Rhinolophus ferrumequinum: one gene and its partners. The protein of the gene in region 2 binds, or shares a complex with, the protein of the main gene of each other region. Links are inferred from orthologs where the notes say so. Each region holds a gene or a part of one and is shown on either strand. Other genes may lie near its edges.

Region 1 (7,644 bases), on a different chromosome or scaffold from region 2:
TAATACTTTTATCTATTTCTTTGGTATTTACTTCTATAATTTTAAATAATATCCTTGTAACTGCTATTTCCTGATCATCAATTTTAGACATTATCTAGTGAATTTCCTTTTATGGCAGATGAGGGATTTTAGTTCACATGTAATCTGTCCCTTCCATTCTCTCTACCCTCTTGATCTGATAATATTTCAATTTCTAGCCAATACATAGTTGGCATTTTCATTGTTTGCCACTGATTATATTTCCTTTTTTGAAAAGGGTATGGAGGAGGAGTTTTAATTTTAAATCATGAGCACACAGAAAACATCAATACATTGCAATGATAAGATAGTAATGGTATACCTTCCAGGCTCTATGAAAACTCCATGAAATATTGTGAATTCAAAACAGCAATAATCTTACCTCTAATTGGGCTAGTTTTTCCTGAATCTTACAAAATTGGTCATCATCCACCTGAACTGCTTTCCTCATCACTTCTCCCATTTCACAGATTCTGTCAATCTGACTCTCAATTTCCTGGGAAGATATTAACACAAAAAAAGGTGAAAAAGTCATCTTTCCTACAGATAGGAAGTTCATGAGAACATGTGCAATACGATGTTAAAAAGTTCATTGAATTATGCTACAGGTTACACAGGAGTTTCACTGAGTCCTCAGAGGTGAAGCCATGATCAAGTTATCTTGTGGTATTCACAAATAATTTGTTTTCAAAAGATCAATTCTAGTCTAACCACCCACTGGATGTTGGACAATATCTCTTAACTGGCTGTTTAACTTAAATTAGAATATTGGCAAGCTCTGCATATTCTAAGGTACCTTATTCTGTCTATGTACTTATCTCTTAGAAAGTCTTTCATGAGCTAAATTCTGTGTCCTTCAAGGTTCAAGTTTTCTCCTCTAGTCTAAAGAAAATAAAGTTTATTTTTCTCTTCTAGATGAAAGCCATAAACATATTTAAAACATCCCTGTTCCCTAAGACTTTTGTTAAGTCAGTAAAATGTTTTCAGTAGAACCTAAGAAAACTTTTCATAAATTCCACTGTAGCAAATAGTGAGGCACCATTCTATTAAGCCAGGATTAAATGATTTAGTACATGTGAATACACAATGACAACTATGAAGCACTCTACAGACAGAAGAACAATTACTGGGTCTCCCAAATTAAGTTATGAACAACCAAAGTGTAGAAACTATACCATGTATGTATTTTTAAACCATACTTCTCTCTCTTAACAAGAGTGTGCTCGGTAGCTCAGTTTAATAAAGGTTTACTGACTGCCTGCTATGTGCCAGGTACTATGTTAGGGATAAAAGATGAATTCATACTTCTTACAGCCAAGGAGTTTACAGTGTAGTGAAATGTGCAGTAATAACCCATCAAGTATTTACTCAGCACCTTCAACACTAACTGGCATTATGTTTGGTGGAAGAACTAAGCATTCATCAACATCTTGGAAAGAGATCTTGGTGAGGGAAGGAGGAACCTTGGTCCTACTCAAATAAAAGGACTTGAGCAGCCCCTCACCTCCTTCTTTCTATTCATATCTTGACACAGCTATAGCAAAATCAACAGCGAATCTAATAAACACGAAAGGAAAACACACTAACTTTTCTTCAGAAGCAAGCACACAATCGAAAACAATTCCAAGATTTCAATTTTCAGTTCACTGAGAATTTACTCCTCAAAGTGACTTACAGCAGAGTGAGACTGGTGAGCTTTCAGGACTGGTTCAGCATCCACAGCTTTTTTAGCAACCATTAATTGTAACATCTGTTTCCGGTACTTGCTCATGATGAGTTCCAAAGCATCCTGGTGTTCCTCCAAGGAAACCCATAGCTCTATATCAAAAAATGAAATAACTTGGCAGTGATGCCTGAAAGATAGCTCTCAAAGCCAAGCCAAATTCTTACCAGTTGGAATTGTATGGCACTCCATGAGCTGTTGTTACTCCAAAGTTGTAAATCAGTGTTCAGCTCCACAAAACTCAACAGTTAAGGTCTATGTGAAACAAAACTTTCTAGGCAGAGGCAGCATAGTTTGGTAGAAACATGGGATACAGAATCAGAAGGCATGGGCTTGAGTTCAGTTCTGTGAGTTACTAGCTTAATGCTCTTAAGCAAATCACTTAACCTCTTTGAACCTATTTCTTATCTGCATTGTAATAATACCAGCTTGTTTGAACTCAAAATGAAGATACAAGAATACAATGGGATGACCTATGTGGAAACCCTCTGTAAACGAGTATACAAATGACTATTCACAGTCATTAATAACGTACTCATCCAGACCAAGAATACATTCCCTAAAGTAAAAAATTCAGCTCTCCCACCTTGCACAAGAACATTAAAAATACCTTCGATCTTAATTTTAGTACTTATTTCAATTAATATTTAAACATTGAATTTTAATCCCTTGAGGATATTAATTCTTTTGTTGTGCAAGCCTCCAACTGGGGAGGCCTAAATAAAGCCACGCAACAATTCAACTCTGCTAAGCACCTCTTTGATAAGCTGCCTACAAATAAAATGAGTCGGACAACCTTGAAAAGAGTAATGTAACAAACTTTATTGTTACCGGGCCAGCACAGGGTAACGCTCTTATTAAAAGTAGTGACCTGGAAGTACATACAGCGTGTGCACGTTTGTGAACAGGTCGGCAGGTTTGCAAGAACTTTTGAATTATTACCGGATATAACAAAATCATAGTAACTCCACAAAAAGGACTGACTAACCTCTGTTTTCCTGCTGCAAGTCTCTAATCTGTGTATTCTCTTGGGACAGCAGAATGTGAGGTTTGTATTTGGACATGTCCTTTATATCGGATGCATCCTCTTGATACTGGACAAACAGAGACAGACGAAGCGCGCCGTCAACAGAACAGCCGCAGATGCAGGAACCTAAGAGGCAGGAGTCAGGGCTCCGGCGCAGCATTCTCATCCCCGACCCCGCAGGAAGCTCTCACCGCCGCCCTCTGAGACCAGACAGAAGACATTCCAGGCCAAGTTCCCACTCGACCTCGCCTTCCACCTGTCAAGTGCCCAGAACCTGAGAACACGGACCCGTCCCTACCCTCTGCCTGACCTGGTCCGGAAGCGCTGTGCCCGCCTCCCGCATAGCCGCTACCCGCCGGTGCAGCGCCGCCGACTGATCCACCAGCGACTCGGCGGCCGCATCGTGCTCCCGCAGCCTCTCCAGCAGCGTCTTAGCGTCTGTCAGGATCTTCTCGATGGTGCAGCTCATAGCGGCCGCGGGACCACAGCTCCAGCGCTGCTCCCCTAAGCGAACCGCTCGGCTCCTCCCCCACCTGTCTCAGCGGCAATAACGTCACTTCCGGGTACGCTTAAAAGGCGCCGGGGCAGCCGTGAGATGCGCCTGCGCGGTGGCATCCTACTCCTCCAAGGACCCTTTCCTCAGTGGCTTCCCTGGGCCCCGCCCTTGGCAGAGCCTGAGGCCTGCCCTCGCCACGCCCTTGGTTTCCTGTTCCCACAGCCTGGTGGTGGAGTTTTAGCTGGGCGGTCCCAGTTTCTACTTTCCCTATTGGTTTTTGATAGATGTGGATTCTTATTAAGTCATCTTTTTTCCCCCCATTTAGTTTTTGAAAAATCGTGGTCAAATACACCTAAAATTTATCATCTTAACCATTTTTTAAATGTACAGCTCGACAGTATTAACTGTATTCACCATGTGCCACTATCACCACCATCTATTTTTCTCCAGAAATCTTTTCATCTTGCAAAACTGGAACTCTGTAGCCATTAAACATTAACTCCCTATTTGGCCCTCCTCTCAACCCCTGGCAACCTCTATTCTACTTTCTGTCTCTATGAATGTGACTACTTTGGGTACCTCATGTAAGTGGAAACATACAAATCACATTTGTCATTTTGTGACTGGCTTATTTCACTTAGCATAATGTCCTCAAGGTTCATCCATCCATGTCACAAAAAAATTTCCTATCTTTTTAGGGCTGAATATATCTATCTATCTCACATTTTGTTTATTCATCCATTGATAGATATTTGGGTTGCTTCCACATTTTGGCTACTGTGAATAATGCTGTTACGAACATGGGCGTACAAATATCTGTTTGAGTCCCTGCTTTCAATTCTTTTGGGTGTGTACACTGAAGTGGAATTGTTGGGTCATATGATAATTCTTATTTTAAAAATTTTGAGGAATGACCATAATGTTTTCCACAGTGGCTGCACCATTTGACATTTTCACCAACAGTGCTTAGTGGTTCCAATTTCTCTACATCCTTGCTATTTTCGGTTTTTCCTCCACACTATTTTCTGAGTTTTTTTTTTGTTGTTGTTGTTGTTGTTATTTGATAGTCATCTTAATGGGTGTGAGATGGAGTCATTGTTTTCTGTTTGCCTATATCTTCTATTTTAATTCAATTAATAACTTGAGGATAAATTTAACCAGAAGAGCAATGACTTTTGTGCTGCTTGTTATAATGGTTTATGAGTTTACCTTGTCAAGCTTGTACGTCAAACTTTGTTCTTTTTCATTCATTACTTTAGTAAATATTTTTGGAGAGCCTTCTTTTCAGGAACTGTTTAGTGTCTGGAAATACAGCATTATCTTTGCTTCTAAACCTGTTCCTTCTCCTGTTTCAGTAAAGAGCACATTTATACACCTATTTGCTCAAAACAGAATCCTGGAAGTCATCCCTTACTCTTCCTACGAATTCTTTACACTAATCAGTTACCAAAGCAACCTATCTCTTTTATATCTTTGGGAGATATTTCCTTCTTTGTATTTTCACTGCTACTCACCCAGATGAAGCCACAGTCTTCCAGCTGGTCTTCTCCCTACCTCAAGTCATCTCCACAGCTCTAGCACAACCCCTTGCTGCCCTTTCAGTGGCAGGCAATTATCTTTCTATGTACCACCCACATTAAGACAGAGCAAGACGGGTCATACTAATTCCCCAGTGACACTGATAAACAATTACTCTTACTTGCGATGTAAAACCTCCACATTATTTAAAGTTTGTATCATCCAGCTGAAGAATCTTCTATCTCTCCTTCTGACTACCAATGATTAACCTTCTACCTTGAATATTCCCCTTCATTCATAGAAGATTTCAGGAGTTGGCTTATAGTCTTTTTGATTAATCCATGTGTGGTTCTCACCTTGGATGACATTCATGTCCATGGGGACAATTCATCTAATGTTCTATCCTTCCTCAGCCCCCTCAGTTCTAGAGACATTCAATTTTTTTTTTCGGTTACCTATGGCCAAACCCTTGATCATTTACCAAAAATTGTTCCTCATCAGAAATGTTAAGCTTTACCATCTAATTCTTTGACCACAGCCTTTGTTTCAACCTGTCTAGTTCTTGCAACCCTTTATTCCACTACTATCTCTGACATCATCCAGCTCTCCGATTTCTGAATATATCAATATTCCCCCTACCTATCAGACTCTTTTCTTTCTTTTTTAATTAAAGTTTATTGGGGTGACAATTGTTAGTAAAGTTGCATAGATTTCAGGTGTACAATTCTGTATTGCATCATCTATAAATCCCATTGTGTGTTCACCACCTAGAGTCAGTTCTCCTTCCATCACCATATATTTCAGACTCTTTTCTTGTGGTCTAATTTTCTTTCCCTGACCAGACTGGGCTCTTATGATTGGCGGTCAGAACCATTGTCTTTCTAACATCCCTAATTTCTTTGCACCTCTCTTTTTAAGCCAAATGCAAGCAGTTAACTCTAACCCTTGACCAATCCAATGATTCTAGTAGTGGTTAAAAGGGGATACAGAAATAAGAGAGGGTTCTTGTTTATGTTTTTTATTTTGTTTTTATGAACAAGTCTTGAGCATGCTTATAGGCTTTATAGAGGAAGGATCCAATCAAGAAAGAGATACAAGGGCCGGCCCGGTGGCTCAGGCGGTTAGAGCTCCGTGCTTCTAACTCCGAAGGCTGCTAGTTCGATTCCCACATGGGCCAGTGGGCTCTCAACCACAAGGTTGCCAGTTCAATTCCTTGAGTCCCGCAAGGGATGGTGGGCAGAGCCCCCTGCAATTAAGATTGAACATGGCACCTTGAGCTGAGCTGCCCCTGAGCTCCCAGATGGCTCAGTTGGTTGGAGCGCGTCCTCTCACAAGGTTGCCAGTTCGATTCCTTGATTCCCGCAAGGGATGGTGGGCTGCGCCCCCTGCAACTAGCAATGGCAACTGGACCTGGAGCTGAGCTGCGCCCTCCACAACTAAGATTGAAAGGACAACAAACTTGTGTTGGAAAAAAGTCCTGGAAGTACACACTGTTCCCCAATAAAAGTCCTATTCCCCTTCCCCAATAAAATCTTATATAAAAAAAAGAAACAGATACAAGAGAGTAGGGGACATTTGAGGGAAGAGAAGGGACACAATAGCTATTTAATAGACCTTTGTTGATTATTTATTAGGATGGTGGGCTGAAGAATCTGGATTTGAATAGAATAAGAAACATTTCATTCTCCTTAATTCGAAAGAAAATAAAAAGGATAGATATAAATATGGATTCGAGATGGGGAAACATGAAATTGAAGGGACCTGTAACTTTCAAGCCATCCCAATACTTCTGCATCCCACCCATCAATAAACCAATAAGATAAGCTCAGGCACTTCTAGTGCTGTTTATGGGTATTACACAAACTGCCCAAGACCTCTTTTGCTTGTTCTGACTTATTTCCATTCTGACCTAATTTCTGTCTGGCTCCTGTTTCTCGGTTCCATTTCCTCTTTATTATTTCACTCTTACTCTTTTGGGTCAGGAAGTGATTTTGGGTCTCCCTCCCTTTATTCTCAGCTCTCAGATGGCCCTATCAGCAGTTCTACTTGTGCCTCTCTCAGAGTATACACCTTAGCCCAGTGATCCTCCGATGATCCAAATGCCAAATGTGACTCCTACACACTTACATGAACTCTAGGGAGGGAGACACTTGGACATTTTTCTAGAAATACCTCTTCTAGTACCATGCCCATTGCTGTAGCCACACCACACAGACAGGTAACAGACTTACTCCTTTCCCTGAACCTGAGAAACTCTGCTCAGAGGTATGAGAACACAGGGCTCTGGGAGCAGATGGTGGTTTCAATGGTCCACAACAGAGACAAGGGCAGAGATATTCGACTTTACCTGACCCCTTGTACCCCCATGGCTTCTTTCAGTGATTGTCCACACATATATGTCCCATATTGCATTTATTAAATACCCTATTTTGCTCCTTTTTCTTTCTACATGGTGAGTTTTGAACTCTCAGACCTATTTTTTCCTGTTGCTGCTAACTAATGGCTTTCTAGGACTCAGCCTTGAAAAACCACAGACCCTCATAATTATGGTGAAAGAAATCTCAACAAGATAGGGAGAAATGTTTAGTCTTCTAGCATGTCAGAAAAGCAGATATTAGTTTGTATTATAAAATTTTCCATGTGAATGTTAATTCTAATTAAGAGGCACTCTGACTTTAGATATTGTTGCTGTAGCCTATAAAAGTAAACTTTAATATCTACAAAGTCTGTAATTCTGATTGGTTGTCTTACTTAACTTAATGCCCTGGTAATAATATTTAAATTGACATCCCTATTTTCTAAAAGATTTAAATACACTTGGTTGTGGGTTGAACTGTGCCCCACGAAAAGATATGTCCGAGC
Region 2 (7,672 bases):
TCCAAAGTAAGGAGCCATCACAAAGATAAAAAGAGCTTTAGGACATGATCCTTTGGTTTATTTCCAAGTTTCTCAGACAGACTTTCACCCCAAATTCCTTTTACAGAAAAAACCATACTGCAAAGTTCCAATTTAAAGTCCTTTAGAAAACCAGGAAAAACATGCTTCCATATTGAAATTTTACATCAAACTTGATATACCTTAGCCTCTTCCTATTCCATTACTGAACAGTTTCAATATTGAGTGCTTTAAATATATGTGTAGATGACCACTGCACCCAAGGCTTACATATACAACATGTAAGCTGTCTTACTTTTCATCTTTCTTAAAAATAAGTTTACAGTTTAGATCTACTGATGCTTCTTTAAACCCGCCCAATAAATTTTTATTCAACACATGCATTTTTAAATGTGCACAAGCAATCTTACTAAAGACTGACCGCACCTAAAGTAAATTTAATATTCCAGAAGCAAATCTGAAACCATCCTAAGTAACCCAATAAAACATTGCCGAGAAATATATAAAACAGAAACACATAAACACAATCATGAACATTTTATTCCAAAACAATCAGTATGAAATAATGAAAATCCCTGGAACAAATTAAGAGTTTAAAAACACTGTAGAACTTCTTCAAAATAAGCAAAGAAACAAAACACTTAGAATGGCTATATATCAGAACAAATATGTCAATAGTTGATCAACTGAAAGCAAACAAGTAAAAGAAATCTCCCTTAAAAGACTTTTCTGTTACTGTCAAGGAGAGAGTAAGGAAAGCAAGAGGGAGGGCAGACAATATAGACCTTATTAATGTATATATTTTACTAATTTAGACAAAAGACATTTTCTCAGCTACTTACATTAGTGAAGCTTATGAATGACTAATGCAATTGCAAACTTAAAATTGTATAATCCAAGCTTTCGTACAACAGTACAAAGGTTATAAACATGTATCGGGGACTGGTGAAGTATTATTTAGTGAGCCCAAGCCTCAATGCATTTGCACATGCAATTTTTAAAAATAAATGCTTTACTATCTTCATTCACACAGAATATTGTTTGTAACATGGTGTAGTAGAAAGCTGTATATCAACAGAACTCTACAAATCCCAAATATGTTAAAGCAGACTATACACAAGTTAAAAGAAATAAGACAATTTTGACTTAAGCTTTTGGAAAGTTACATTTTTAAAAGGCCAGTAGTACATCAAAGCACAATTCTAAAATACTGATTCGACTAACAGGTGTTAATTTATAATTATTTTTTTCTCGACTTGATAGTGTCAAAATATATAAGTATTCTCACTTTTTAAAAGTTTAACTTTGGCCACTTTATGGAGTCAAATAAAAGTTTACCAGTTCAAAATCAAACTGAAGAGTTATACATTTGTTGAAGGACATCCTTTCTAAATTAATCCAATATTCCTTCTTTACACACATTTTCCTAACTATTTACTGTAGGCATATATGACATATATGTCAGCTAGCAATACTGCTTATATTCTAAATATACATCAGTCTGAAAAACAGGTGCGACACTACTTAGATCCACGCTTTTTTTCTTCTAAGCCTAAATTTGACCTGGAAAGGATTCAAAAATAAACACAAATACCAAAAAAAGTTGAACAATCCTTTTAAAAAGATTCTGAAATACAAGACATGAACCCTCAAACTACCAATATCTTCCAAAAGTTAGTTAAACCAGCCTCTCCAAGTTTCTCCTTAGGAGGATCAAGTCAGGCTTAATTGTGAAGGGTCCTGAGGATCTTTAACTTTGCTTCCCCTCAGAGTTAGTAACGTGAGACACGTTCGTTTCACTTCCAGCTAACATTAAATCTTTTCTCAGTCGTTTCACAAAGACAACACAGCTAAGTCTAGTTTGGCTTTTTATGGGTAAAAATGGGGGTGGAGGAGGGGGAGGCCTCCTGAAGGGTACCCTAAAACGAAACACTCAGTACAGGCATACCTCGTTTTATTGCGATTTTTCGCATTATTGCGCGTCACAGATGCTGCATTTTTTTTTTTTTTTTTTTACAAATCGAAGGCAAGACCCTGCACAAGCAAAAGATTGCTATTCGCTTTATTGCGGCGGTCTGGGAATAAACCGCAATATCGCCGAGGTATGTCTGGAGAAGGCTTGCTGAGTCAGTCGCTAAAGAACTGACTGGGAATCTAAAGTGATTACGGCAGCATCCCAGGTAAGAAGGTAAAGTTGGAGGTAGGAAATGAAAAAACTTCACAGTTCAGCGGCGAGCCATTGTGCTTGGTAGTAGCCCTGGAAAGAAGCGTGGCTGTCAAGGGGCAAGTGCGTACCAACTCCAGAGGAGGGGGCCAGACGTGCCAAATCGGAAAGAGGGGTGATCCGGGAAAAGGTGGTAAAACGCCCATCCCAGTCCCTCTCCCCGAGTTCTCCATCTCAAGAGGCACAAACAAGAGCAAGCTCGGTGTCCAGCAGCCCCACGCCGAACTATCCCACAGAGAGGAGCTCAGCCCCAAGCCCCGGAGGCCCGGGCAGGCCGCCTCCGAAGGAGCCCCCGCAGACGCCATACTAAAAGCCAAAATGGCTGCCCCTAGGAAGCCCGCACCGCGCAGCTAGTGAGGCTTGGGGAACAAGCTTCTGCGGGAAAGGGGAAGGAGGACTCTAGGAAGCGCCGTGGCCAGGTCCAACGCGCCCCGAGCCACACAGGTAGGTCCCTCTAGTCTTCCCAAGGCCGCGGGTTCCCACTGAGGGAAGTCCCGGCCCCACCCCCCCACCGGGAACCCCGCGGCCGCAGCCGTCCCACACACCGACCCCAGCGAGGTACCTGCAATTCGGCCCGCTCCACCTCCCAGTGCGCCCGCTCCATCTCGAACCGAGCCCACTCGTGCTGGATGTAGTGCAGGATCCCCGGGATAGTGTACTGCTGCGGCCGGGACAGCTCGGGGCCTGCCGCAGGACCCGCTCCTTCGGCAGCCGGAAGACCCCCGCTGCCCGCCGCTCCATTCCCCCCTGGCGAAAGGCTCATATTCCCCCCAGGTCCCTGCTGCTGCCGTGGAGGGGCCGCCATCCCCGGGCCGCCACCACCGCCTCCGGCGAGCTCGTCCATTGTGTGTGGGGCCCCGGCCGGGGCTCAGGGCGAGACGCCGACGGCTGGGGGAAGGGCCGGGGAGGGTGGCCCCGCGCTAGTGGCGGGGCGGAGGCCGGCTGGGAGTGGGGCGGGGAGGGGGTGGTTGCTGTATGCCTGCCGTGGGTCAGAGCAGGGAGCTGCCGGCCGCCGCCATTACAGTCCCTCCTCCATCTGCCCGTCTCACTCACTCACTTTAGGGAAAGGGGGGGACGCGGCGGGAGGCGGGGAGAGAGGGCAGGGTTGGGAAGGGGATAGACGTAGGGCCGTCGCTCCCGCGCAGCATGCCGGGTAGAGAACGCCGCTGCTGCTGCAAGCCTAGTAGCCAAATACAGTCCGGCCTCACCCTACGCAGGCGCACTGAGGACGCCGTCAAGGTTGCCGTTAGAGGCGGGGAAGGAGCTCCGGCCCCGCCCCTAGGCCCGCCCCCCGACTCGCTCCGGGTGTCAAGCGGAGGGTACCGGATAGTGGGCCACTGACTCCAACTTTTGGAAGCGAGTCGGTTTCTGGCTTCCCAGTAATCAGTTTCCCTCGTTCAATCAGCCCCTAGGCGCCGTTCTCCACCCGAGGGTATCAGCGACGTGCCTGCCTTTGGAGCTGGGTTTTAACCTGGCTGATCGCTCTGGCCCGCCACTGCCAGTCCCGGATTCCTGACGTTTCTTTTGCATTCCTAGCGTGTTTCAGGCAGTCCCAGAGGGTCGGACCTCTTTCTCTGCCTGTCACTCGCTCTTTCTCTAGTTCTTAGCTCCGGCTAGTTTCCGGGACTTTAGGGACGTTCTCTTGTGGCAAATAGCCCAGATCCTTCCGGACGTGGTGAATGATTCCCCGTCTCCGTTTCGAGCCCCGGCTTTGGTCCCAATTCTGTCCTCCCGGTCGCCGGTCGCAACTTGTTCCACTTTGCCTCCCCTCTTCTTTATGATTCTGGGTTGGGTTGTGCCTTGGGGATTTGGGAGGAGAGCAGGAGCGATTGTTTTTCTTTTTTTTCTTGAGAGGAGGGGAGGTAATGAAAAAGTTTAGATCTTTAGATGGTGGGTAGGAGAAAGATAACTTTGAAGGAGACTGTTGAGACTAACAATTTGATGTTTTAGAAGTGAATGAACCTTGCGAGTGTTATCATTCATAGCAGAATCTCTTGATGGAAATAAATGAAAGCATTGTGAATACAACTTAGAATCCTAGATGAATGACTAAAGATATTTTCTTGGGTCATTAAATGTCTGAGTGAATGTAATACATAAAAGTCAAGGTTAATCTTTTAAGTACCATGGTGTTTTTATGTGCTTAAGTTGCCAGGAAACATCCTTAATGAACTAGTAAGTTTCTAAAAGTTAATATAGCTAATAACCATTTGGCTGAAAAATAGCACAAAAATAATACTTAACAACATAATAAGGAAAAGAGGTTTAGTAATTACAGCTATGCAGGAAACTTGCATATAAAATGGATTACATTATTTTTTTTTTCTTCTCTACTACAAAGAAAGTTTTCTCTATGGAATATATATGACCAGTCAGGGTATAATTTCAAAGAGATAAAGTAGTACATCTTATTCTGTCATATCTGCTGTACTGTTACAGTTTAATGAAAGGCAAATTGGACTTGTCATCCATGATACGAAATTAGGTGTAAGGTCACAGTATTATCAAGAATTATTTCTCCGTATTATTAAGAACTACTTCTCCCCATTGTTAAAGTACTATTTCAACATTTTGTAGGGACCAACATACAACCTGCTTATTCAGTCCTGTTCCTTTTTGAGGGGCCTCATAGCACATAAAAGTTCAGAAATCCCATGCTACCTCAAAACCTACATACTAGAAACATTTGTGAGAGGATGTGGCATCAACAGAAGCAGACATGCACACTTATATTTCCCACGGGCACCTCAAGCTCAAGTAAAGACTGGATTTATAATCCTTTTTTTCCCTCCGCATTCACCTTCAAAAACAAAAACTGCTCCTCTTCTGTTATCTATCTCATTAAGTGACACTACATTCAAACCTGAGGCCTGGCAGTCATTCTAGTACCTTTAACTCAGCCCCCACATCCAACCTCTTTCATATCTATTCCATTATCTTCATTCAGTGTCTTAGGTTAAGGCTTCCCACCTTTATCCTTCCCCTGTCTCTCATGCCACTGATGTCAGAGTCATCTTCAAAAGGCAAATCTGATCCTGTCATTCCCTACTTAAAATAGTTTAGTGATCACCAAATTTAGAATAACGCTCAAATTTTAACCTAGTGTATAAAGGTCCTTCAAATTCTAGATACTCCCTACCGCCTAATCTACCATCACACCATCATGGCACCCCATTCTCCTTTCCGGCCAAACTGCACTGTTTTTGGTTCCTCAAATGTATAGTAATGTTTCATTCCACAGGACTTTAACACATGCTGTGCCCCATGGCCTTTCCTTACCTTTTTCCTTCAAAACCTAACTCAAGTATTACTTCCTCCAAGCTTTCCAAATCCTTGAATTATTTAGAGACCCCATCCTAATAGTATCACATGCTTAGCTCCTAGTACATATTACACTGTATTCAAATTGTCTATGTACTGGTCAGTGACACTCATCCTGATCACTGTGAAAGCAAGACCTGCACATAACAGGTACTGCAAATCTTTGCTTCACTCATTTATTTTTTTTTAAAGATTTCTTGACTGGCTACTATTTTTCAGATACACTCCTAGTCCCTGATGGTCCATTGTGAACCAAGGACATAATCTCTACTCTCATAGGATTTCCAGTCTAGTTTTAGGCAAATTACTTAGCACCAACCACCATAGCTTTCTTAATATCTGTCCAGATCCGTCTTAAAATCATTTCTTTTAAAATTTCAAGTGTGCTCCCTATTTGAAGAATTCCAGTTTGAACATGTCTACATTCACTTTAACCACGGTTTTATTAATGTCAGTGTAATCCTTCGCCATGTTCTTCCCAGATCATAGTCATTTATCTGCAGGATCCTCTTGTTCACAGCTGTACCTCCAGGGTCTGGGACAGTGAGATCCCAATAAATGTTTGATGAATAACTTAAAATTAGACTAGACTAATATAAATATTTTTCCTTCCCCTCAACCATTTTTTCTTAGTTTTTGCTAACATTATAGCAGTTATCACTTAAGGTTCAATGACCAGAACTGAGTATTAAAACTAAAGAACACCAGTATTTTCTACTCTGTAGAGAGAATTTTTTTAATTATTTTTTTAAATTTTTCAATTATTGTTGACATACAATATTATATTAGTTTCAGATGAGAAAATATTTTTTACATTATTGACGTTGTGCTTTGTGTCTATGACTCCTGAGGACACTCTACAGTGAGCTCCTAGAATCTTGTCTTCTGTAGGTAATGAGCTTCCCCAGGCCATATTATCACCTACAGCTCACCTAACTGGAACTTCCTCCCTAAACTGTGGCTGAGTCATTTCCTCTCTTCAATGTCATCTTTGAAACTTCCTAGTATTTGTTCTGTCCTTTCATCTGTCTGTTCATTCCTCCTCCATGCCCATTGATTCTCTCAGTTTTAATATACTACTGATGATCTTCGTGAATGCTGCTTCTATCTTTAATCAGTTTGGAATTTTAGGGTGGTTTTTTTTTCTTCCTCATTATCTAATCCTAGACACCTGTGTGCTCACTCTATCTGACCAAAAAGGGACTTGTCCTATATCATGTACATGTCCTATATCATGTCCTATATCAAGGTATGTTAAGGAATTCCAGGCTTTTAAATAAGTTCAAAATAGTCAACACTCAAATGTCTTCTTCTCAATTTTATATAGTACCTGATGTGCAAAGTTCTGCCTCTGCCTTTGAGAACTATATAGTGGCCTGTAATCACTCACCTGAATATCCAGTTTTATACCTTGCTGACTTCTAACAAAGAGCTCAAACTGGTTCAGAAACACTAATCTAGTCATCTTTTTGCATCATCTGAAAAAGTTATAACAAGTATTATCTCCATAGGAAGGAGAGAAAGCTGAGATAAGAGTTCTGGGTCACTTCCATAGTTCCCCAGTAGACTAAGAAGTGGTTCCGACTCTTACATCGCTGAGTGTATATGTGTATTTGCAAACAAGAAATAAAGGCTCCCTTCACTATTCTGCCTCCTACTGTCAATGGGCTCAATATTGCTTTCTCTGGTTCCCATATTATATGCACTTTTTCATTTCTGATTTTTTTGTCTGTTAAAATTTGTTTTTTAGTTATAGTTGACATACAATATTATATTAGTTTCAGGTATCCAACATAGTGATTAGACGTTTATATACCTTATGCAGTGATCACCACATCATTTGCACTTTTGAAATCCTTTTTAGGTAGTTTTGAGGTGATTCAGTCACTTGGGGAAATGACGTAGTATTTACATGTATAAATATAGAGAACAAATGAATATAAGAGCCCAGAAAAAGATCTTTGAGAAGAGCTGGCATGTGTTCCAAAACCAAAGAAGCAAACTGTATAATGCAGATGGAACAGAAAAGGAGGAGGCAGCTTTGACCGGCACCATGGTTTGACCTGCCAAATAAGATCAGGTATCTACTTCTCGTTACAGTAGTTGCCT
Region 3 (7,908 bases), on a different chromosome or scaffold from region 2:
CATGGTGATACTCTTTCATGAGATCATAAATGCTGAAAATTCCACCAAACCATTTAATTTTTCCATTTGCCTACCCAGTTCTCATTATTTTAATTAATTAATTGGATCCCTTTTACAAAAGATTCAGATCTTTGTACCTCATATTATATCCAGAGCGGATTCCATTCGGCAATATCTGGACTCGAGGCTCTTATCTTTTAGGCCAGAAATCGTAACCTGCTGTTTCTCTGCAAAGCCCGGCTCCCCTTGGAGCTTACTATGTTCTCATCCTGTCATGTCTGCTTCGCTATCGTGAAGAGACCAACTCCAAATGAAAGAGGAGCCCCACTAGGCTTCTAGATTAGGTTGCCATTGTTGCTGCCCATGGTGAGGTATTTGCCTCTGCGTTTTGGATGACTTCTTTCTTTCTGGGAACCCTGTATCATCAACCATTAAGAACAAGGAGGCCCAGGCTTCCTGAGTATTTGGGTTCTACCTTAGTATTGGCATTTGATCATTATTTCCTCTAACCCTTGGAATCAGAACAAATATGTCTTCTTCTCTCAAGCTCTCACCTTAGATGCATCCTAGGTATCTGGAAGCATGGGAAATAAGTCCAATTATCTCTTTGTGGCCCTGGCTTTACCATTTTCCCTATGATGAATTTGTGCTAGTTTTCAAGGTCTTTTTGTGCCTTTCTAATGGAACCATTGTTTTCTTTTTCTCATTATTAAAAAAAAAAGTTATCTGCTCTACCTTCCTTTTGCCCTCCTACCTCTTCATTCTTCCCTCCCATGTGAGCAAGGCTCCCCATGGCCACATACTCCTGCAAAGCTTTTTTGCTGCTTGTCTTTTCTCTGAACAGATCTGAAATTGCTGCTCCCGTGGATTTTTTTTTCAAAATTAACTTTGTCATGGTTTTAAAAAAGAAATCAAAATGCATTGTTGCATTAAGCTTTTTTTAATAAAGGAAAATTATGGAAAGAAAATAGGCAACACCAGCAAATTATATGTGGACAAGTTCTAAACTATATATACATACATATATACATATATATACTATATAAAATAATCATCTAGTTCTCATTGTCATCTTACTGAAAGGAAATAAAACCTCTTAAGGATCACCATTTCTGAGAGGCTCTTGGAAATCGTTATGTCTAAGTGATTGTATTAGATCAGCAATAATGACGATGTAATCTCAAAAGATAAATAAAATATTCTTAAAATGCATCCCTGTCTTGAGAGTATTCCTTGCTTCTGTGAACTAGGAATTCAGAGATGAGAAAGGTTTCAGAGCAACAGGCTAGAGAGGCGACTGTAGGGCAAGGATGTGAAAAGTTGCAGGAGTTACCAATAGACATGTTTGGCCTCAGCCTTGTAAGAGTCCCTTATTTCACGAATAAATATCACCGTGACCCCCAGTTATGTGTATACAGAACCTGCTTTCTCAGCACTACCACCCCGGGGAGTTGAGAAATATGGGCTTACGGCAGAGAAACTAAAGCCTGTTTCTAGGTTCCCCAAGCCCTCTCATGGAGAGGTATTGCCCTTTGCTAGAGAGTACAGAAGAAGCTAGCATCCCACCGTTTGGGACCAAACAACTCTGCCACCCAGGACCTGACAACATCCAACCAAAAGGAAGAAAGACCTGAATCTAGCAGAGATTTGTCTCTAAGTCAGGTTTTGCCCGACTAACTCGGTAACCAGAGCATGAATCCAACTGCCTGTTCTTTCTCAACTACCAGTAGAGTAGCCATTTTCAAGTAGCTTACTGACAGCCAGTTACTTTAGTTGACATCTTGAACTAGTTCTACAACCTGTTTCCAAGATGTTTTCTTATTGCCCCCACCCATGTCCTTGATGAGGAAAGGAGGGTGTTCTATCCTTTTTCTGCTTTATTCTGGCTGCCCGATATCCTAAAAAACTAGATATTTGAAGACTTCCTTCATCTTATTTTTAAGCTTTCTCAGTGCCAGGAGTTACCTATTTAATCACATATCTGACCGTGGATTAGAGTGGAGTGATTATATGGGGAAAGGGGTATGTTTGGTTCGATTTATACCTTCAGCCCTCTGCCAGCAGCCTCAGGAAATCTTGAGTTTTGGGATAAGGGAAAGTGGTAGTGTAGGTTTAAAAATAACTCAGCACTGGAGCCATCTCTGCAAGATGGAAAAACTTGTAGACCAGCCCTAATTAGCTCCCAGGTATATTTATGGGTATCTCTGTGGTCAGTGGTACTGCTAACTGTCACTTCTTTGTTGACAAATAAGCGAAAAGAAATTGAGTGTGTGCCAACTCCATGGCCTGTAGTTTCAAAGTTTTCAGTTAATCTGTGCTTTCTTGTCACTTCTTCCAAGAATTGTTTCCGGATATCTTCCTCCTTTATGACAACGTCGGCCTCCTCTGAACATTGGCCTACAATGATCAGATAGATGTCTGATCTTTACTGTCTCCCATTCCACTGGGTGTAGAAAAAATAATGGTTGAGGTCTCTCATGTTGATTCTTTGCAATCTCCTTAGCACCAATTTTTCAAATCCCGTCTCTGAAAGTAGAGCCAGATGGAGCTCTAGGCTCAGCAAACAGTTGTACATAGTTTTACTTCGCTGAAACTGCTAGTGCAGGACCTGAGAGCTGTCCTTAATCCTATTCCCAACTGAAGATCACTCAGCTCCCTTTGCCCCAGGGGTAGGCTGGAAAAGGAGCAAAGCCTCAAAAATAACCACTCCTGTTCGCCACCACTGTTGGGGATCCTGCTGATTGACTAGGCTCACAAAAGGGAACATGAAGTTCTGGGTCTGTCACTCCTAGAACTCTGGCTGCTTAGGAGGGGAGATTGGGAAGAGGGTAGGTAGAATAATTCTTTTATTAAGAAACCACAATGGGCTGTGCTGGGGCAGGTTCACCACACTGAAGCAGTGATGAGCTAGGTGTAGGTTGTGAATTTTAAAGCAGAGTATGAATCTTTAATAAGAGTTTAACAAATTATACCCTGAAAACATTCCAAAATCAAATAGTTTAGGCCTTGAGCCAGGGACTTTCTTGGAAATTCTTATCAATTCAATTCTGTTAAACCAGTGGGTCTCAATCCCTGGGGACATTTTGCAATATCTGGAGACATTTTTGATTGTCACACTAGGGGAAGGGTACTATTGGTAACTAGTGAGGAGAGGCCAGGGATTCTGTTAAACCTCCCACAATGCAAGGCACAACCCCCCACAACCAATAATTTTTCAGTTAATAGTATAGAAACCCTGTGTTAAACATACATAAATGAGGCATTCGAAAATGAACAAAACTTGGCCCTACTCTCAAGGAGCTTAGATCCAGGTTGGGCTAAGAGAGGTAGGAAAGCCAAAATGCTGGGAGGGTACAGTAAAGAGATGTGGAAGACCCAGGAGAGAAAGAAACTCAGAAAGCTCCAAGGAGTGCCTGCTCTCTCAACTCTGCCTTGATCTGTCACTGACTAGCAGAGGAAAGTGTGAGGGAGAGACACGGTTAAGAAAGGGACAGAGTTGTACCTAAGACATAACAAGGGGGAGTCATTCCTTTTGGCTCCTTACTTTGGGAATGTCATAGGAAATACAAGGATTTTGGATCCAGGCAGACTTGGCTTGACACCAACACAGCCTGAGTGGGTTGAAGAGGGTCAAAAGGAAGGCTTTCTGGAGGAGGAGGTGATGACTAAATAGAATTTTAAAGAAGAATAGAAGTCAGTCAAGATTAGAACAGAAAGTTTCTTCCAGAGGGAGAAAATAGGGCATGTGGAAGACACTGAGACAAGACGGAACATGATACCTTGAGAACTGCAAGGAGTACCTCCCGGTTTCCTCATCAGCAACAACGATTCTTCCGCAACCTAGGGGCGAGAGGTGTGATATACCTAGAAAGTGCCTGGTGCAATGCCTGGAACAAAGTGGCAGTTCAATCCCCGCAGGTCCCAGGATTCCCCTCAGGCTACTTGTTTAGGGTTACTGTTACCAACCTAGACAGCCTAAACATTTACTGCTTTTTAGATAAATTCTGAGTGGGCAGGTCACACAGCCTCGTTCGCCCCAGGTAACACTGAGCCCTTAAGAAGGATCTTAGAAGAATGAAGAAAAGGACTGAGGAGCAGGTGGGGACGGGGGCGTGCTCTCCATTCAACATCTATTCCCTAGCTCACACCATGAGGAAGGTGCCCACTTCCGCAGAAAAAAGCAGATGACCGGGAGCAGCCTTGAAAGGCACTAGCAGTTTCAGCGAAGTAAAACGTCCCCACCTTCCCCCTCAACCCCTAGTCTCCCAACCAAACTTCACTCCTGAGGGATGAGTTCTCTACAGAAATCTCCGCTTTCTGTGAGGGCGAGTCCCTCCTTTCCTCAGGTGTCCCTGGCCCCCCGGCAGTGCCATCCCTCCCCTGCGACGGAAGCAGGATTCGGGACACTTGCAGGAGCCGGGATTCGAGGGCAGAGGTCTGTGGTAATGGGGAAACGGTGACTGCAGTGGAGCAGGAGGGAGAGACAGAGCTCCCCACAAAAGGTCTAGTCTTTATTTGGGAGGGGTTGAATGCTGAGGGACACCGAGTGAAAAGCAGAGGCCCAGAATTCGGAAGGTGGAGCTGGGAGCCAACTCGGGAGTCTACTGCTACCAGCAACGCCGCAGGACTGAAAAAAAAAAAAGACCAGGAAAAAAAATCCCTTGAATGAGCCCCCACCTCCTCCAAGTCTCGCTCCGAGTGGTCGAACAGCCAATCGTGCCGCGGGGCGGGGCTGCGGGAGGCGACTGCAGCCAATAACCGTGGAGGGGGCGGGGCTTAGCTGGCGGCGCGGGGCGGCAGGGTCGCCCCGGGCAGAGAGCGCTGAGCAGCTGAAGGGAGCCGCTGACCAGAGTGGCATGGAGGACCCTGCGGCATCGGGGGCCGGGAGTCAGCCCGCCAATGGCAACGGCAACGGCAACGGCGGCGGCAAAGGGAAGCAGGCGGCGCCTAAGGGCCGAGAAGCATTCAGAAGCCAGCGGCGGGAGTCGGAGGTGAGGAGCCCGGAGAGCTTAAACAGGGGCCGGGAGGCGCCGGCAGGCGGGAAGCGGTGGCTGAGGTGATTTGGCCCCGTCTCCCTCCCCGCCTGGACCCCCGGGCGCGCCCCGGGTTGCCCCTGGGAGCGGGCGCCTGCGGAGTCCGCCGTCTGGACTCTGGGCTGTGCAGCCCCTGACCGCTCTGCACCCGTCTCCTGCGGCGGGTCTGGGGCTTTCTAGCCTTCTGGCCTCCGCTCCGGGGGCGCAAGCTATAGCTCCACAGCGAGCGTACCAGATACTTGTCAAATATTTATCCCACTAGTCGCTGCAGCTCCTTGAAGTGGGAATTGGTATCTTCGATTTCCCGAGGAGGAAACCAGCGCGGGGAGATTGACTGACTGGCCTGAGGGGTGGGAGGCCGGAGCTCCGCCGCAGTGAAGAGGGGCGTGCGTGGGGGGCAGCCGCTCTCCCACCCTAAGGCTCCCCCAGCCGATCCAGCTGTGCCGCGCGCCTTCTGCCCTCCCCGCTCCCTCCTACCCCGTCCCCCAGGGCTGGCAGGCGCTTTAGGGAGCCCCTTCCACCGACATCAGGACCCCCACCTGCAAGGGTTAATGAGATAGGATCAGGCGGGGGCAGGACTGGAGCGAGTGGATGGAAGTGTCCCAGGAAGCAAACCCACAGATAGGAGTATGAGTGTTCGGGTGGCTTCCTCTTCTGAAAAGAAATCCTAACCAGGAGGATGAAAGGAGCGGATTATCATCACTCCTCCACCCCCTCATCCAGCCAGTCTCCATCAGCTCGTCCAGAGTAGAACTGGATCTGACGGGGGACCAGGAAAATAGACCACAAAAATGTAAGGTGTCTTGAAGATCAGCTGGGTTTAACCCTGTCTTTTCCAGAAGTAAAAGAGACCGAAGTGACTGGCCCAAGACCGTACATCTGGCATAGTGGCCAGGAGCACCAAGCTTTGGAGTCAGCCCACCAGGTTTTGAATCCCAGCCCTACCATTTACTCTCTGGATGGCATTTGGCAAATTGCCAAACCTCTAGAAGCTCCAGTTTCTTCATCTGTAAAATGAGGTTAACATTATCTGCCTCAGGAGGTTGTGATAAAGTCTAAGAGAGATAATTGAATGTAAAATGTTTAATTCGGCGCAGGCACAGTGCAGGTAATGGGTCAGTGCAGAGTAGCTCTTAGGACTTCCTGTATCGTCATCACCATCATCAAGGGGCAGAGCTGGTACTAGAGGCCAGGTCTTCGGCTTCCCAGTCCAGGGTTTACCATTTGAATAGTATTTCACAGTTTCCAAAGGGATTTCATGTGTGCTTTCCATTTTGATACAGACGAGTAGGAATCCACACCATTTTTAAAAAGAGAAGTGGAGGAGGTGAAAAGACTGGCTCCAAATCATACCACCTTTCAGAGGCATAACTCAGCCCTCCTTCCTGCTAGATCAGGCAGGGGACCAGCTGGCCTTTTAGGGGACCCTGTGCCTCCTTCCCCCCTAGAGACATTGTTCTTGCTCAGATGTTTTATTGGGAGGATGAGTCATTCATTAATTCAGCAATTATTGAGACTTTCTATACGCACAGCACTGTTTTAGGTGCTAGGGATACAATGATGAACAAGATAAGGTCTTTGACCTGTGGAGCTAATGTTCTAGTGGGGGGTGGAGAGAGAGGCAATACGCAAGTAAATAAAATAATTTCAGAATGAGATGTTCTATGGGGGAATTAAAACTCCTCTTGAGGTCGGAGGCCTTGTGCCTACCTATCAAGTCTGCCTTCAGGAAAAGGCACCTACGTACTTGACCTTGCCAGTGAGGTCAGTATCTGGAGACTCAGAGCTTTCCACCTGCATCGCAGTTTACCTCCTGATTGTCTGCAGCTGCACTTTTCATGCTTGGAAATGAACAACTGCAGTGATCCTCTCTCTCTGGGCTCAGTGCCTGCTGAAAGGTTGGCTGGAAAGATTAGCTTTCCTCCACCTTGCTCTGCAGCAGGAGAGCTGCTTCTACCTGTCAGTGCATCCCCTGTTACCACAATACTCAGGTGCCAGGCTCAGATGCCTATCTGCTTTTCCTTCCCGCCCTCCTTTTGCTTTCCTGGGGAAAGATCGTCCTCAGGGGAGATGGTTTTCTTTCCTCTCTAGGGCTTCTAGAGAATTACTGTTGGCACCAGTCAAGAGAGGCTCCTTGGACAGCACTCTTGACCTATTCTCTCCCAATGCCTTAGTGTATGAACTTCCAAGCTAAAAATGAAGCTACAGAATAATTGTTTGCTTAATAAACAGATCCTTAACCTACTAAGTTCACCTCAGGCCTCTACCAGCCAGATTCCCTGGTTTAATTGGTTCCCAAAGTCCTTGACAAAGTTTGTGGCAAAATGAGGAAAATTCAGGGCATTAAAGTGAGTTTTTCATAAAATATAGTTCAGTACATTAAATGTAAAGGATGTATGCAATTTAAAACAGTGTTTTTCTTTTTTTATTAAATTTATTGGGTGACAACGGTTAGTAAAATTACATAGGTTTCAAGTGTACATTTCTATAATACACATTGTGTGCTCACTCAGAGAACAGTGTTTTTCAAACTGTAGCGGGTAACCTGTGAGTTGAGACCGTTTTTTTAAGAAATAGAATAATAGAAAACATCAGTGCATCACATACAGTAATGGTAAATATATTTTGTTTAACTTTGTTTGTGTGTGTGTGTGTGTGTGTGTGTGTGTGTGTGTGTGTATTGGGACATGATGTGAAATTTATTTATACTGTGATTTACAGTCAAAAAAGGTTTGAAGAACACTGCTTTTTAATGATTCTTTTATTCTGATAGTGTGTCCTTCCCATTTTGGGGGTATTAAACTGTTCTTTCTTTTTTGAAATATATTTTTTAAAAGATTTTTTGAGTCTGTACTTACCAGAATAAAACATCCAC
Region 4 (7,631 bases), on a different chromosome or scaffold from region 2:
TTTTAGATACTGTGTAGCATTTAGGAAAGGCACAGGACAAATGAGAAGGCCCTGCCCAGGTAGCTTACAGTCTAATGAGGGAGACAGACATTTATCAAATAAATACAGAAACAGTCCCTATTGTGATGATGCTACAAAGGAGAATACAGAGTGTGGTGAAAATATCAAGGGAACTTACTCTAATTTTAGGAAGGATAGGTCAAAGAGGTCAGCAAAAGTTCCCTGATGAATGACATTTAAACTGAGACTTGAAAATTAACTAGGAGTTGGCCAGAATTGGGAAGGGGAGGGGAAGCAGTCCAGACATGGGCAATAGAACATGTACAAAAACTTCCAAGTCAGGAAGAAATTTATGTATACAGTAACTAAAAGGCACAGTAAATGAAAAAGGCTGGGAATAAGGATGGAGAGCTGGATAGGAGTCAAAAGATAAATTGTCAGTACAAAGAGTAAGAGGATAATAGTATTTGAGTATTGAAGTCATTTTAAATCTTTTTTCTTATAAAATAAACAATCTAAGGGAACTAAGTCTACAATATTCAAGCTTTGCAATAAGACGACGTAGATTATACCTTCATCACCTGTGACCAGTTACATGACCTTGCACTTAACCACTCTGAACCTCTACATTCTCTTTGTGAGCAGGTACTCACTGTTGTACCTACTGGGAATACATTAATACAGTCCTGTTTTTATGACCTTATATCCTTAAAGAGAAAGAGATAGATGTATATGGGAGACATCCTAAGTCCCGTAAGAGATGATGTCCAAAGGCTGACACAAGGCTCCTACAAAACCCAAAATGAGAATGTAGACATTGGTAAACTTCAAACTACTATAAAAATACAAGTGTACACATAATTCTGTGAACTCTAAATTATTCAAAGTGCAGATATCCAAAATGACCACAGCACCCCTGCATGTGACTGAAAGATGATAAATACAATAGAAACATTATTCCACCACTGCAACGTAGGTGAAATAGTATAACTATAATGGAACTCCGAAAAGAGAAGTTAGTGATAGAACTGAACCAAGGATAAACACTTACACATTCTGAACAAGTGCATTATATTAATTGCACTTATTTCCAAATCTTCCCAATTTTTAGTTCAAAAGCTCATTCCACAACCTCTTACCTGCATGTGAAAAGTTAGAACTCATTTCACACTTCCCCCAATAAAAAGCAAATGCCTACTCTACCATCTAGAAAATACATTGACATTCTTGCTTTACTGTCACTGTCTAATGTTTATGGTCAAAACTATCTCACCATTTTAATATAGCACAAAGCCAATTATCCCCCGATAATTTTCCATTTGTTTAGTTGCTCTTCCTTGCTGTCTGGTACCATTATTCATGGTACCATATTATGCCTGATTTTACTTCATTCTATAGTACCATACCTCCCTTCTATTTTAAAGGTCATATTAATGTCCAGACCATCTTAACTTCAGTCATTGGGAAATGTTAAAATCTCTGATTCTAGAAACTGTGCACTCAGAAAGTAATAAATGCAGAATACATACAAATTGCAGTGTATTTCAAGGGTCAACTTATATAACAGTAAGCCATGATTGATTACCGGCTATCTGTAGATACCTAATTCTTATTTATAAACTTACTATGAAGAAATCCTCATGTCAATGAATATACTCCAAAATTATATTAAAGAACTATCCAATAATATTCAGGAGCTATAATTGGTCATAGTAACCATTATATAGGATAGGACTGAAACAAGTACGCTTTCTGCACAATATAAAACAAAATGTCCTATTTTTTCATTCTTTAATGTACAATGATGTGTTAAAAATAACAGATGACACTAAGAAAAATATGTAAAAGCCTATTGCTATTTACACACACAAACATCCCAGAACCAAGAAAGAAGGGGAAACGTAAATAAAAATCAACAAAATGTGATCTTACCTGCAAAAAATGCAACTTATCTTTTTTTCTAGTAAAGCGTACGTACACTAAAGTCTCTCAATGCTGCATTATTTGAAAAAAGTGCAAAATAAGTTTTGTGAAAGAATTCCAATCCCACTGTTGTTAGTTTTATAAAATGAGTAAAAACATTCCTAAGTTAGGAAAAGACTATCTTCTAACTGTAAGGATGGGATATACTGTTTAACTGACATTCTCCTATATCATTATCTACTATTTAAAGTGGTAGTACAGTCCATCATTTAATATACCCGTAACAAAAGAAAAAATATGTAAGTTGAAGTCGATTCTTTATTCCTTATTTTTCCAAAAGTTTAGTGTGTGTCCTTCTTTTATTCAGGAATTTCTCCCCAGTTCAAAAAGTCTTCACCTTACAAACGCACTCTTAGAATTACATAAAATGCATTACTTTGCAACTTCCTCCACCCTCTTCAAAAAACATAATCAACTCTTTCTTTCTGGTGCAGCAACTATGATTCAGTCTGGGCTACAACTGGATTGGAATCAGAAGATCTGTCTCTACGTGTGTGACCTTGGGCACCTCATTTATCCCCTCCGTTTCCCCATCAGCATCCCAAAGTGAATGCTCTTTGAAAACAGTAAAGGTGTACAAACGTAGCTTAACAATTTACATCTAAGAGGGGTAAGGTTTTCTGCTTAGGGCAAAATTACCTCCTTAGAGGGGCCACATCATGAAAATGGAACTGAATCTGTAGGTCTCTGTCAACATTTGACTCTTTTTTACAGTTCTCCTCTTTCCTCAGAGGGTATAACCTGAGTCACTCTAAGAGAAGACTCCCAACGCCCTCTCCTTTCCCCACTCCTTCCCCACCCTACTTCTAAAGAGGGGGGAAACAGCAGTCTCACCTCCCCTCCCAAGCCACACCTTTAGAGGACCCCACCCCAGACACATCCGCCTTCTCCCGTCTCCGGGGCTACAAGAGGCCAACCTCGCCCTTCCCCTCCCGCCCCCACCTAGAGGAGACTTCCTGGAGGCGTTCAGGCCCGAGCAGGGCAGGCGGCATTTACAAACCCGTTTTACGCCACTCGCGTAGGGTAACCTCGCTTACGCCCATAGGGCCCCGTTCCCAGCCCCGTCGGCTCCGCCTGCCAGAACCAAGCCCCAGCGCCTCAGTCAGGGCCCCGGAGTAAGCCCAAACCTCTTCTGCTCCGCCCGGGGCTACAGAGACTTGGACAGAACAGCCACACCTTACCGGTAACTGAGGCACTCACTTCACTTCCCACCCTGGAGCCCTCTTCAACTCCCGGATCAATTCACTCCGGCGACGCCGGAAGGACCCGAGAGGAACCAGGCGTTGTCCGGAATCCTGCCCAGCCGGAGTCGCGCAGGGACCTATGGGGACTCGTAGTCTCACTCACTGACGTCTTCGGCAATTGCTGCACATACAAGACTACAATTCCCGGCAGACAGTACGGTGGAGCCAAAGGCGATGGGTGGGGACACTTTTAGCCAATAGTAAGAGAGTTCCCTGCCTCTGCGGGAGGAGGTGAAATGAAGAGAGAGGATGCACGGAAAGAGGAGGAAGGGAGGGGTCAACTCTCACCTGCGCCAATCAGAGTGCATGGTCGGCCCCGCGGCAACTCACCCTTTGTGGGGGCGGTCTAGCGGACCAGAGGAAGGAAGGGGGTCAAGTGTGGGGGGGAGTTCTAAGTAGGGAACTTGGAAAGGCTGATCTGTGGACGCTGCGCGGACGGAGAGGGAGCACCGGGGGAATCGCCGGGGTGGAGAGAGGGCGCGGTGTGGGGATGCGCCCGGGCGGGAGGAGCTGCTTCCCCGAAACCTTCCGAGCCCCAGGCACACCAGGCGACCAGACCTGCGGGTCGAGGAGGGCTAGATTGAGCCTGGGCTTCTCTCGAAGGCGCCAGGGCGGGGCGGGAGGCAGCTCCAGGTGTGAGGCCAGGGAACGAGAGAGGGTTCCCCAGGGAAAGGGAAGTGGCAGAACAGCTGCAAAAGTGCAGGGAGCGGGAAGATAACCGGGGTAGCAGCTTCCCACCGCCTCCAGCAGGGGGAGGAGCAACAGCTGCCGAATTCACCAACTAGAGGAGGGGGAGGCGGAGCTTGGGTCCCTGTAGCAGCTGAAGGCGCAGCCCGGACTGTAGTTTCCCGGGAGAGAAGAGAGCAGGAGGAGCGGAGCGGAGCGCAATCCTCGGAGCATCAGCTCCCGCATCCCGCCAGGGGTTGCAGGTGTGTGGGAGGTAAGCGCGGGTGCCTCTTCTGGCGTCCGCACACTGCCCGAGAGAAAGCGTCTTCCAGTAGGAATTATATCAAGGCACAGCTTAAAAGAGTCTGACTCGCGTTAGAGAACTGGTGCAAACCCTTTTAGGTAAAATGTACAGTTTTAGACTTTGAAGGGGGAAAAAGGAAAAGGTGCTTGACTTGGGTATAAAGGGCGTGGTTAGTGTTTTTGGTATGAGTTGTACCATGAAAACTGTTCTGGGATTGAAGGAAAAACCCTGCTAATTGAGAACAAGGATGCTATCAGGATAGGTGCGTAGCTGGCAGGAAAAAAAAGAATGTCATGGAACAGAATGACTTCAGAACTCTCCCTAAAAAAATAACTTTGCATTCTTCAATGTCTACCTACGCTTTATGTTGTTTAATCAGATTATCATGCTACCGACCTGTTTTCTAGGGTGGTTGTACGGCAGGTTCCTAGAATTGAAAGAGATCTGTGTTAAAGAAGCAAATCCAGGCAGGAATAATCAACATGACTGAACCTATCAAAAGTATAACTTTTGCCAGCAATAATGTAAAAATGTGTTTTAATAAATGGATACTTAGCTTTCTTTCCAGTGGCTCTAGATGTTGGAACAAAGACCAAGACTCAGCCTATACAGTAGGAACATATGGTGTATGTACTATATGTACATCGGTGCTCCTTAGCGTCTCATTGGTGTCTGTTAATATTTGTACATTTTAAAAAACAAAAGTACAAGAAGAGCAGTGCTAGGATCTTTTCAGTTTAGAGAGAATGTACTAATTGATCACCCTTAGTATGTGTTATGATGGATTCAGACTTAAAACACAGTTAGTAGTATAAAATAATACTTTACGGTTGATATTAAACCATGTTTCATTTCTTTGACTGTAATTAAATACCTATGGATGAAAATATGTTTCAATAGGAGGTAAAGATGAAAGCCGCATGTACCTTGATGTAACAATGACAAAATCACAGCCTTTTCTTTTTAGAAAGTATGTAAAAAGCAATTTGCCTAGTTCTTTTTCTTCTTGTTACAGAGGTTCCCCAGATTACATAGCTTTTAATCATAGTAGCATATTGCAGCACATTTTGCTCTGAAATGCTTTCATTTTGACAGTTGTATATTTCAGAGTCTGCCTGAGTACTTTAATCTGGATTTTTTTCAATGAGGGTCAATAAAATGGAGTAATTACCTTCTGTTTCTTGTTTTCACGTTTTCCTGATTTACTTAGGATTTTTGGATTTTATTTCTGTAAGGTACACAAAAATTCGTTTTTGAAAATAAATGGCTGGAAGAAATTCTATTCATAGCTTAAAGTTCATTCCTACTGAGTGCTACTACTGATAAGCCCAAGTGACTTATCAGTGTATTTACCCCTCCCCTCTGGAGCCCCTTCCACACCACCGGAGAAATATATAGACTGACAGATCTTAGGGGAAAAAACTGGCTTTTAGATTGTCCCCAAGCAGATCAGGTAAGTAGTAGAAGCAGCAGAGACCTTAGAAGAAAGAAAAGCCACAGTAGCCACTAAACTTAGCAGCCATGGTAAGGATCCCATTTTATCTTTGCTACATCACTGGAGAGTCTTTTAATCCATGTAGCTGATAGGACCCTGTGAAAATGATTGTAGGGGGATAAATGGGGCTAGGGTGTACTGAGGCTTGGAAAAGATTCTTTACCCTTATTATTTGTGATTGAGTAGATTGTACTGAATCTGTCTTAGATTCTCTCTCAGGCTCTGCTGTTGATTCATTTTGTGAAATTGAACATTTGCTGTCACTGGCTTATTTCTCCCCTGTAATAATAATAATAATAACACTGGCAATGAAGTTCTTTCAGAGCCTTTATTAAAAGATCTTTTTGAAAGAGTTTGGTTGGAGATTGGTTAATAAATAAATGGGATTGAAAATAAACATCAAACTTGAAATTCAGATGTGTTTTGATCCCAACTATTTATAGGTCTACTCTGATAGAATATGGGATAAGATAGAGTATCAGTAGGAATGAATGAGTTTGTGCTTGTTTCCAAGATTTGAATCCTTTTTATTTTGTCAATGTAAGAGATTAGGTTCCTATATCATTTGACAGTAGAAGATCATGTTTTTATAAGGGAGAAAATCATTAGCAATATATGATACTTGAGTATTTGTTACCTTGAACTCATGACACATTTTAAATTGATGTTCACATTAAATCAGATAATCTGAAGACTTCTTGAGTGTATGTTCCTGGTGTGGAGAAGGTTTATTATGTGACAGTTTATAATTTTATGTAAAGCACTGCTTAGGTTAAAAGCATATTTATTCTCCTGATTTTTACTATTTGTGTATGGCTATCAGTGAATGAATATATGACAGGATGAAAAAGAAAAACCAAGGAAGTGCAGAATTTCTCTCTTGAATGGAAGATACTCTTGGGATTAATGTTCTTTAGCCAAAGGATTTGGTTAATTTCAAATTACAAAATATATTTTGGGCTTCTTTTTATTTAAAATTTTGACTCTTAAGCCTATTGAGTAGCATGGATTTCTCTAACAAGAGGATTCACTGATGCATGCAGCACTTTAGGTTCAGGATCAGATCAAAAGGTTTTGGTGGGATGGGGTGGGGTAGGTGGTTTACAAGTGGGGATAGTTATGAAGAAAACTGGGAAAGATATCCTTAGCAAGAGAAAAAAGAGATTAGATCTTTGTTTTGTTAAATGCCTGTAAGCAATTCCATGGTTTTCCCTCCCTCCACCCCACTCATTAATTTCTAAAGGCCTATATCCATAATGATACAGTACTTTCCTATATCATTTTAACTGGAGTCAGACTGATAGTGATTCATGAGATTTTAAATAATCATAGGTTATTGAAGCAAAGCTGAAAAGATTGTGCATGCATACAGTTACTTCTAATTAAACTTAACTATTATTTGGACATACCACTGAAAAGAAATAAAAACCTAAAATGATGTTTTGCTCCTTAATAACAGAGGTAATTGAGCCAGACCCTAAAACTGAGCAATAGCCACCCCACCCCACCCCACCCCCGCACCTTTAAAGCAAATGCCTAAGGTTAAACACTGCTTTGGGGATCAGGATTAATTATTATACAAAGGTAAGGAGTTATTTTTGTACTGTTTTCAATCTTACCTCTGATGTTTTCAGAATTAAGTCCCTCAAGTTTGTTGTATTTTAAGTAGCTAGATTATTAGCTCCTGGAGACTATAATTTTTTTCTGTGTCCTGCTGGTTCTGAGCACCTTATATCATGCTCAGCATAAAGAAGTAGCCCTATAACCACTTACTGAGTTAGAACCATTAACCGGTACTTCTTTAATGTATGCATTGAGACATCTTGCACTTTGATAGACAAGAGTCAGTTGACCTCACAGAATAATTACTATACCTTAGGCCTACTGAGAATATCTTTGTGCTGGTTAGCTTTTGCAAAACTGTCGATTGAACTCAGTT

What was found.
Region 1: the proteins of STRN3 (region 2) and SIKE1 are in contact, whole or in part, in a crystal structure (PDB 6AKL), measured with the Homo sapiens proteins. The link is inferred for Rhinolophus ferrumequinum from reciprocal best matches to the Homo sapiens genes STRN3 and SIKE1. Residues at the interface, in NP_001077362.1 of Homo sapiens: Arg176, Leu179, Tyr182, Leu183, Val186, Tyr188; in NP_079349.2 of Homo sapiens: Glu96, His97, Ala100, Leu103, Ile104, Ser106, Lys107.
Region 3: STRN3 (region 2) and STRIP2 share a complex: the UniProt entries of both Homo sapiens proteins name them as parts of the core of STRIPAK complex. The link is inferred for Rhinolophus ferrumequinum from reciprocal best matches to the Homo sapiens genes STRN3 and STRIP2.
Region 4: STRN3 (region 2) and PDCD10 share a complex: the UniProt entries of both Homo sapiens proteins name them as parts of the core of STRIPAK complex. The link is inferred for Rhinolophus ferrumequinum from reciprocal best matches to the Homo sapiens genes STRN3 and PDCD10.

The regions. Positions count from the first base shown.
Region 1 is NC_046305.1:45,449,253-45,456,896, forward strand, and holds the start of SIKE1 (suppressor of IKBKE 1), read right to left. Parts: upstream 3,301-7,644; 5' UTR 3,238-3,300; coding exon 3,079-3,237; intron 2,836-3,078; coding exon 2,730-2,835; intron 1,837-2,729; coding exon 1,694-1,836; intron 515-1,693; coding exon 401-514; intron 1-400.
Region 2 is NC_046289.1:80,003,795-80,011,466, forward strand, and holds the start of STRN3 (striatin-3), read right to left. Parts: upstream 3,389-7,672; 5' UTR 3,087-3,388; coding exon 2,805-3,086; intron 2,687-2,804; exon of another isoform or gene 2,374-2,686; intron 1-2,373. UniProt on the Homo sapiens protein: Calmodulin-binding scaffolding protein which is the center of the striatin-interacting phosphatase and kinase (STRIPAK) complexes.
Region 3 is NC_046309.1:16,879,203-16,887,110, reverse strand, and holds the start of STRIP2 (striatin-interacting protein 2), read left to right. Parts: upstream 1-4,818; 5' UTR 4,819-4,856; coding exon 4,857-4,991; intron 4,992-7,908. UniProt on the Homo sapiens protein: Plays a role in the regulation of cell morphology and cytoskeletal organization. Required in the control of cell shape. Calmodulin-binding scaffolding protein which is the center of the striatin-interacting phosphatase and kinase (STRIPAK) complexes.
Region 4 is NC_046285.1:74,137,572-74,145,202, reverse strand, and holds the start of PDCD10 (programmed cell death protein 10), read right to left. Parts: upstream 3,317-7,631; 5' UTR 3,165-3,316; intron 1-3,164. UniProt on the Homo sapiens protein: Promotes cell proliferation. Modulates apoptotic pathways. Increases mitogen-activated protein kinase activity and STK26 activity. Important for cell migration, and for normal structure and assembly of the Golgi complex.